Nothobranchius furzeri: one gene and its partner. The protein of the gene in region 1 purifies or fractionates together with the protein of each later gene. This does not show direct contact. Links are inferred from orthologs where the notes say so. Each region holds a gene or a part of one and is shown in the gene's direction. Other genes may lie near its edges.

Evidence for each region.
Region 2: the proteins of espl1 (region 1) and ccnb1 purify together in Homo sapiens (affinity purification with western blotting; 5 studies listed by BioGRID and IntAct, with this or other methods). This does not show direct contact. The link is inferred for Nothobranchius furzeri from reciprocal best matches to the Homo sapiens genes ESPL1 and CCNB1.

What each region holds. Positions count from the first base shown.
Region 1 is NC_091743.1:50,208,123-50,212,403, reverse strand, and holds the start of espl1 (separin), read left to right. Parts: upstream 1-1,260; 5' UTR 1,261-1,373; intron 1,374-1,507; 5' UTR 1,508-1,527; coding exon 1,528-1,608; intron 1,609-1,768; coding exon 1,769-2,071; intron 2,072-2,158; coding exon 2,159-2,908; intron 2,909-2,994; coding exon 2,995-3,096; intron 3,097-3,213; coding exon 3,214-3,325; intron 3,326-3,413; coding exon 3,414-3,541; intron 3,542-3,700; coding exon 3,701-3,894; intron 3,895-3,967; coding exon 3,968-4,210; intron 4,211-4,281. UniProt on the Homo sapiens protein: Caspase-like protease, which plays a central role in the chromosome segregation by cleaving the SCC1/RAD21 subunit of the cohesin complex at the onset of anaphase. During most of the cell cycle, it is inactivated by different mechanisms.
Region 2 is NC_091746.1:73,742,292-73,746,658, reverse strand, and holds the start of ccnb1 (G2/mitotic-specific cyclin-B1), read left to right. Parts: upstream 1-1,271; 5' UTR 1,272-1,383; coding exon 1,384-1,404; intron 1,405-1,626; coding exon 1,627-1,755; intron 1,756-2,273; coding exon 2,274-2,384; intron 2,385-2,467; coding exon 2,468-2,815; intron 2,816-2,904; coding exon 2,905-3,141; intron 3,142-3,211; coding exon 3,212-3,352; intron 3,353-3,971; coding exon 3,972-4,082; intron 4,083-4,273; coding exon 4,274-4,367. UniProt on the Homo sapiens protein: Essential for the control of the cell cycle at the G2/M (mitosis) transition.

The sequences.
Region 1 (4,281 bases):
TCATTAAATGGAAGAAGATAGGCGTGGCCGACGTGTTGGCTGAAGAAGAACAGAACCGGAGATAAAACAAGTTCTGGTTCGGAGCAAGAGTTTATAAAGAGGTTAGCGAGATCCAGCTTTTATTTTGGTAACCAACTTCCGCTTATTGGTAAGCAAATTTGCATATTAGCAAAATGTTTAAGTACCAGCTAAATATTTATTTTCCACGATGTTATTTAGCTCCACACTATATTTTATATTTTTGGGTCAGACTTAAATATTTACTTCCCAAATACTGATTTTGCAAAGTATATGTTTTGCTCTAAAATAAATATTTAGCTGGGATCTAAATATTTTTTTCAGAAAATAAATATTTAATTTACAAATCAAATATTTAATTTACAAATTAATTATTTAGTTCCAAAATAAATATTTAATTAGGAAATTAAATATTTAATTAGTGAATTCAATATTTATTTTACAAACTAAATATTTAGCTTAGACCTAAATATTTGGTTTGCAAAATAAATATTTAACTATAAATTAAATATTTAGTTTGCTAACTAAATATTTATTTGGAAACTTTAACATTTATAAATGTATGAATAACATGGTGAAAATATGACTTTGAAAAAGTGAACTCCCAATTTTTTTTCTTATAATATGCTAAATAACCAAAAATATTGCTGTTAGATTATGACTGTTTGACTTTACAAATGGCACCCCATAAGTAACTATGCTGGGAGAAGAGATTCTGTGGTGATGTCACACTTGCTAGAGTGTAGTTGTAATACAAAATTTTACAAGCTAATAAACCTTAACCCCCAGAGACCCAAATTTAGAAAACAACTGCAAAATCTTTTTTAACCTTTCACATGTTGTTACAGGAGGCCAGATAAACGGGCCTATTTACACATTTTAACAGCCAATAGTGTTGCAGAACTGAACAATAGGACCTATTGGCAATGTAAATGTGGTTTTAAAAAGAAAAAAAATGGGGAAGGTTTATTTTTGTAGACTTAAATCTGATGTTGTAATATTACAACCGTGGGTCTCTGGGGGTTAAAGTGCATAACAGACATAGCCAAAACACACATATTTGCCTTTCATTTAAAGTAGAACATATGTGCGATCATGCAGGGCATAAGCCCGCTTTGTTCTGGGGACCAGACCGGAAGCAGACCAACGCAGGATTCTTAAAAACTCCGACACCCATAATCCTTTGCGTCTCCTTGGAACCTGAATGGCTCAGGTCTGATTGGTTACTTTTCATTCAAAAACAGCGCGCGCGTTGCATTCGGGTAATAGTGCACGGATTTATCTTTAATGTTTGGCAGTACTTGGCTTTAAAGGAGTTAGTATGAACAGCAAGTGTCTTGTTTTCATGTTGTAGGGTGAGTAACCTAACGGTTCATAAGAATTCCAGCTGATGGCTTTAGCAAGTTTAACTGTTAGCCTAAAGCAGCGCATTTGGTCGGCGTTCCGCTAAGATTAGCCTCCCATTTAACCTGCTCTACTTTTTCTACAGTGTCTGCTACATACGTCAACATGAAGTGTTTGAAAGTGGACGAATACATCAAGCGGACCGCTTCTGTTAAAGAGACGGAGCTTTTATACCAGGAATTGGAGGTTAGCTTGTTTTTAGCAACACTACTCTAGTCCTTTTTAAAAATGCGTACCAGCCCAAGGGCCAGTACTTTGTTTGGCATTCATGGAATTTAAAAACTGTTTACATCTACGTGTATTTTCTTGCATTAGGACGTGAATATGTCTGTTTTACGTTTCTCAGACGCATATCCTGAGTAAACCTGGACTCCAGGGACGCACGCTGTGTGACAGGGTTATCAGAGCCTGTAACCATCACCTTGGAGTTGGATCTTGTCCCCTGGGTCACATCAAGGCCTTAGTGAATCTGGTGGAGCTTTCTCTTCGTGGTTATGATGTTTCTGCAGAGCTCGTGGCTCAGACCAGTCCGTTTTACATGGAAAAGATCATTTTCCATATTGTGAAGAAGCTAAGTTCTCTAGAGGTTCACACTCTTTGTAGCCAAGTGGCAGGGTTGCTTTATAAAAGGCTCTCCACAGCACAGCAGGTATGTATCACCAAACAGTTCTCGCATATGTCAACATCCCTGCTGTGTGGTCTTTGTCAGAGTAACTGTGGTTTGTAATATCTGTAGGCTCAAGATGATTTCCATGTTCTTGTGCGAAGCTGCTTCTCTGTTCTGTGGACTGGACTGTCTGCTTCCAAAGACAAAAAAATACTCAATCCACAGGACAAACTTCATTGCCAGTTTCAAGCTTTGAGCTTCCTGTTGTTGGACACAGAAAAGGCAGTTCCCACCTCTAAAGCTCTGATGTACACATATGATGCCATCACCGAGTTTGAAGATGGATGTGGGACAGTGACACCAGATGATGCTTCTTTTCTCCTCCAGGAAGTGCAGACACTTTTTAACACATGTTTTTCAAGTGTGCAGAATTGTGAACAGGGTACTTTCAGGCAGCCTATGGAAGCATCAAGTTTTTATGTGTTTTCTGAGATGGCGCTGCTCGCTGTGAAGGCCCTCTGTAAGGCAAGCCACCACGGTCTAGCCTCCACCCTCTTGGATGAAACTGAGAAGATGATTTTCGACCGTGTTGGCTCAAAGTGCATGCCTCTGGTGTTGGCCACATGGGGAATAGAGATTCATTCAGCGTTGACGGCCGGTAAAGAGTGCAGCCGAGTCTTGATGGAGTGTGCCAGGGTTTTGAGGTCTCTCTCAGCTGACCTGGGTAAAGGGGAGGGTCAGGCAGCTCTTGAAGGTGGTAATCTAGTGATATGGGCTGTTGAAAGTGGACACAGTAAAGGATTAAGTGGACCAGAACTTCTGGCGCTGTTTTCATTCCTTGAGGAGTATCAAGAATGGATAATGAAAATGCAAAAAAAGGTTAGTGGGACACTTTGGACAGTGAAACGTTTTTATCTAAAAAATAATAATAAAACCTCGCATGTATATATATTTTTTCTTCCCAGAGTTTGATGTGCCAGGCTGAGAGCAGCAGGCTGCAGCAGGTCCTTTGTGTCAGTATTTACCAAGGATTCCTATTTGCTTATGAGAGCATGCTTGCATCACAGGTGAGAACACATTTACACTTTCATGATGATGGTAAGTTAAGCATGGCCCCGGTGCAGCATAATGTTGAATTTTAGACTTGGATTTTAGTAATGATGCTGATTGTTTCTGGGTCCTAGCTGGAGGACAGGGACACGCTGGACAGAGTCCTCCTCTACTGCCAGTCCACGGCTGGGCTACTGATGACAGAACTTCACAAGGCGCCCAATGAAAACCTTTTGAACAAAACCGGTGACTGAAATGAATCCTAACATAAATGTTTCTTCATCATTACTGAATGCAGGTATTTATTTATTGTACACACTGTTGTGCCTCGTAGTGACTGCTGTGAGCAACGTGGCTTGTGGTCTTTACAACCGGCGTCTGTATGAGCAGGCCTTCTCTCTGGTGGAAATCCTTTGCAGAAGTTTATGCAAGAATCATCCTGTCTCACTTACTGCTGATAGAGTAAGTCGATCCAACTGATACTTATCCTGATCGAAATGTTGTTTTCTAATTAGTTCCTGCAGCTGAAGGTGTTTTGTTTCTGTTAGGTTGGTTTAAAACTGGTGTTTCTGAGCTTTTTGATGGTTTGTAGCTAATATTATTTATATCGTGACCACCCAGCTGAGTCGACCATTCATGCTGGCCGTGCAAACCTCGCGACGAGCCGAAGCGCTGGATCGAGCCCTGAAGTGGGTGATCCTGTGGCTGAAAGCCCTTGGAGACCAGGTGATGGCTCACATGGCTGAACCGGTCTCTCTGTGGGTTAAAACAAAAAGTGATGCTGCCCGTAATGATGATGAGGACATAAGACTCAGGTACAGAGAAGAACTATTTAGTGGCTTTGTTTTTGTTTGTGTTTTGCTTAAAATCCGTCGTTTCCTGAAACAGGACATTACGGGATGGTTTTGGTCCTGACGTTCCTGAAGAGAAATTCATGCTTTGCCTTTTGGAAGAAGAGTTGCGTGCGTATAAGGAGTTGGCGAGAGACACGACCCAAGAGCGCTACAACACTTTGTGTGACCTGTTGGACATCTGCCACGCAGAGAGTTCCCACACTCATCTACGGGCTGTCTACCTCTGTGAAATGGCCCAAGTGGTCTGTTTTCAGGACTTCAGGGAGCAAACTGACTGGTGACTCCATTTATTTAATGATTATGACGATTCTAACTCTACTGTCTAAGGGGTGTATTTGAAAGGTTTAC
Region 2 (4,367 bases), on another chromosome or scaffold:
TATACTGTTATTTTGTCTTGTAATAGTTAATTACACACTCCTTTATTCCATATCATAGCAGTGTTATTCATATATTAAAATTGTCAACTGCACACTCATTTGGCAGAATAAAAGTTTGACAATTATTCATTTGTTCTTTATTGTCACATTTCAGTAACAGTTATAATTAAACAAGTTGTAATTCAACAAATTAAATAAATGACTACAACATTTCCCCCTGTTAAGTGCAGTAGACTGAAATGAATAGCTTTATTTGGAAATATAACATATCTAATTTTTAATGGACTTACATAAAATCTTTCTTCAACATAGACCCCACTAATTAACTGATTAAGTGTTATTTTTATAAAAAGAAGAGAGAAAATGCACAAAGGTAGGAAAGGAAAAGAAAGTGATGAAATAATAGGTTTTGTTAAATGTTCTTCATATAATGAATTAATTGACAAAGTTTTTGCAGGGTGTGACAAAAAACGTTCAAGGTCAAGCTCCTGGGGCTAAGCCCCCCCATATCTCAATCCTAGTGACGTCCATGGTGCAGCACATTCAGGCTCAGGAACTCACCTGTCATCGTCCAACGTTAATCACGACTCTCCATGTGGGTCCGCAGACATTTCTGTACATATTTCTGTAAAAGTTCACAAATACACGAGCAAGCTACAAGGTTTCTACTATTTTCACATAGAAGTCTATTTTGCGATTTTCTAAACACTCTCTAAACCATTAAGTGTGCAATATTCTACACATTTTTCTCAGTAAAATAAATTCATATGTTCACTTTTACGTTTGCTCATAAAACAAAAATATTTTATCGTGATTTTGTATTTCGAAATGTTTGTGCATTGTTTGAAAGCATCTTTTAGTCCCAAGTTTTACTATTTTATCAACAGCTGTGGTTTATTTCAGACATGAGAGGCACGAGCCAAACTGGAAGCACTGGTTTTCACTCCCCGAACAATCATTTACTTTTAAACAGCATGTGGTTTCAAAAACACCTACAAGTGAGTAGCAAATCTGAATAAACTAATTAAGAGGCTGATAAAAAGCTAATGAATGTGTATGGCGGTCTAATTATAAACTGACACATACTGATCTGTTATTTATATTTATATCGAGGTTTCACTGACTAACGAGCAGGAGAAAACAGAGAAAATAGCAAGACGCAACAGGAAAAGGAAATACGAGGATGTCACGTGATCGTACGTTGTCTAGGAAACGCATTCATTGCCTGCCTGATGGACCAATCAGATGCTCGGAGAAGTCAAAGCGCAGCGAATCAGCTTGCAGCGCACGAGGATTTAAACGAAGACAGCGAGTCTTTAGCTGAACTCGTTCGCTCGGCATTACGACTCTTTCACTGCTTGTCGGAACCACGCAGACTTGAAAATGGCTCTTCGAGTGACCAGAGTGAGTCTTTAGTCGGGTCTTACAGCTCTTTATCCGCGTAAACACGCCTAGAAACATGTCGAATGATTAGTATTAGCGTTTAAAATGCTTCCGTGCTTCGGTGTACCTCACCAGTTCAGGCACTGTCCTGCTGAGAGTTCAGAGTCAAACCTGAAGCGGATTTTGTGTTTATAGATGAACGACATGCAGCAGCGGCTAAAGGACTCTTTTGTTTCTCTGCAGACTCGGCTCGGTTCTACCAGAACCGAGCTCGGAGGAGGGAAGGCCTGCATGAACGGGCCCAAGCAGAAGCCTCGAGGCGCGCTTGGTGAGATCGGAAACGTCCCGCTGAACAAAGAGGTTCAGAAAAAGGTGAGAAGTTTTAAATACTCGAGTTTTTATGGTATTAATAATATTCACACGTGAGAACTTCATGCGTCTACTTTAGACTCGATGTGATGAAGTCATTTTCTTTTAAAGCGCTGCTAACATGTAGAGCACATGCTAGCAGACATGCTGCTGTTAACGTGCTATTTAAATAAAGTGGTGGACAGGTAAAGGTTTTTTTTAATCCCATAATAACACGTTCAAGTAGGGGGCGCTGCAGAGCCCCGGTGCCTGGAAGAAGCCATTTTCATGCACACATCCACCTAGAAGGTACTCTTGCATTGGACATGTCACCTTCTTAAAGCCCCGCCCTAGCCTTGGTGACTCACCTGGATGCAGCCTGGCTGCCTCACTAGGGATGCTTACTTTAAAGTGGGTAATCGGATCTGTTTAGCGTACCTGCGTAAACTTGTCAAGACTGTATAATCTTCAGTTTAACTCTAGTGAAGCACCAGGTGATTTAATTTCTCCATGGGGGCTTCAACGACCATATTTGGATTTAGAATGTCAAGATCGATGCTGCAAAGAAGCCTGAAGTTGTACCTAAAGCGGTAAAGGTGGAACAGCCCAAGCCTCCGGTCGTCATTGCTGCTGACCCTGAGCCTGAAGTTCAGGTGAGTCATCTGATTAGTTTAAATCCTGATTCGATCCATGCGCTGACGCACCTGTAAAACGTGTTGAACTTCCTCTGCTCCAGGTGCCGCCTGAACCCACCTCGCCCACTCCGATGGAGACGTCTAGCTGCAAACCCGCTGATCTCTGCCAGGCGTTTTCAGACGTCCTGCTCCACACCGCTGTCAGGGACGTGGATGCGGACGACTATGACAATCCCATGCTCTGCAGTGAATATGTGAAGGACATCTACAAGTATCTCCGTCAGCTGGAGGTTGAGCAGAACGTCAGGCCCACTTACCTACAGGGTCAGGAGGTTACCGGGAATATGAGGGCCATCCTCATCGACTGGCTGGTGCAAGTGAGCCTCAAGTTCCGTCTGCTGCAGGAGACCATGTACATGACCGTTGGAATAATCGATCGCTTTCTTCAGGTAATTCCCACGCTCGTCGTCGGTGGGTAGACGTATCCACGTGTAGAGATTAAAGGTGTTAAATGTGCACGTTCCTGCGTCTCCAACAGGACCATCCAGTCCCCAAGAAGCAGCTGCAGCTAGTGGGCGTGACCGCCATGTTCCTTGCCTCCAAATATGAGGAAATGTATCCTCCGGAGATCTCGGACTTTGCCTATGTGACGGACCGGGCCTACACCACTGCTCAGATCCGGGACATGGAGATGACCATTCTGAGAGAGCTGAAGTTTCAGCTTGGCCGACCACTTCCCCTGCAGTTCCTCAGAAGGGCCTCAAAGATCTATGAGGTTTGTGTCGAGGCTAAAGTCCAGCTGATCTTCAGTGACTTGTCTGCTGACTTCTGCCTTTGGTCCACAGGTAACGGCGGAGCAGCACACTCTAGCCAAATACGTCCTGGAGCTCACCATGATGGACTACGAGATGGTTCATTTCCCTCCTTCTATGGTGGCCAGTGCTGCTCTGGCGTTCACCTTGAAGGTCCTGGAAGCAGGCGAATGGGTTTGTATGCGATTTTTAAAATACTCCTGTGTTACTAAAATGGGTTCATCACAGGCTAATGGCTACTCCGACTGATGCAACGAACATTAAAGAGCAAGTCACCCCCAAATCAACTGTTTTTTCTGATAAACTATATAAATGCGTGTCTAATCGTGCTGCAGACGCATGTAGTCAACAGTTTTGCACTTTAGTGCATTTTAGTTAAAATTTCTGCCTAAAACTGTCAGTGTTGTGCCGTCGTCGGGTAAAAACTCTGCGCTGCATTTGAATTTAAATCTGCCACCGCTATTGGCTACCTAGAATGTTAGCTGGTACCATGAGATGTCACAATGTCGTGTGTGTGTGGCCCTCTCGGTCTGCTAGGTAACAGCATTAGTTGCATTTTTTTAAAACAGGAAGTGTGAGCGGAGTAATACCCTGGTAGGGGGTGACTTGCTCTTTAATATAACTATTTCCACCACTATCTGCTTAATGTAGTTTAGGCATAAATGTCAGATTCATTCAGTGGATGTTGACCTTTGACTAGCAGTTAGCTCATCAGTCCCAAGTACGCCGCTCCTTAACTCGGTCACCAACTGGCTAAATGACCTGAAGGTTGAGGTGTGACGTCTTTGTTCAGGATGTGACGCTGCAGCACTACATGGACTACTCGGCAGAGAGTTTGATTCCTGTTATGGGGCACATCGCCAAGAACGTTGTCAAGGTGACGGACGGGCTGACCAAGCATGTGGTAAGCTTTTTAGCACTTGAACCAGGTGTGCCCAGCCCCGGGCCTTGAGGGCCGCCATGGCTTTCACGGCTCCGACCCACCTGCTGCGAGTCGGGTGGTGAAGAGGCTGCTGAACAGGTCCAGTATAGTAGCTGAATGGGACGGGACCTGCAGGACCACACCTTAACGTTTTGCTTTTTGCATCTTTTCAGGCAATCAAGGGGAAGTACTCCTCGTCAAAGCAGATGAGAATCGCCGCCATCCCTCAGCTCAAGTCTTCTGTGGTCAAAGATCTGGCAAAGCAGC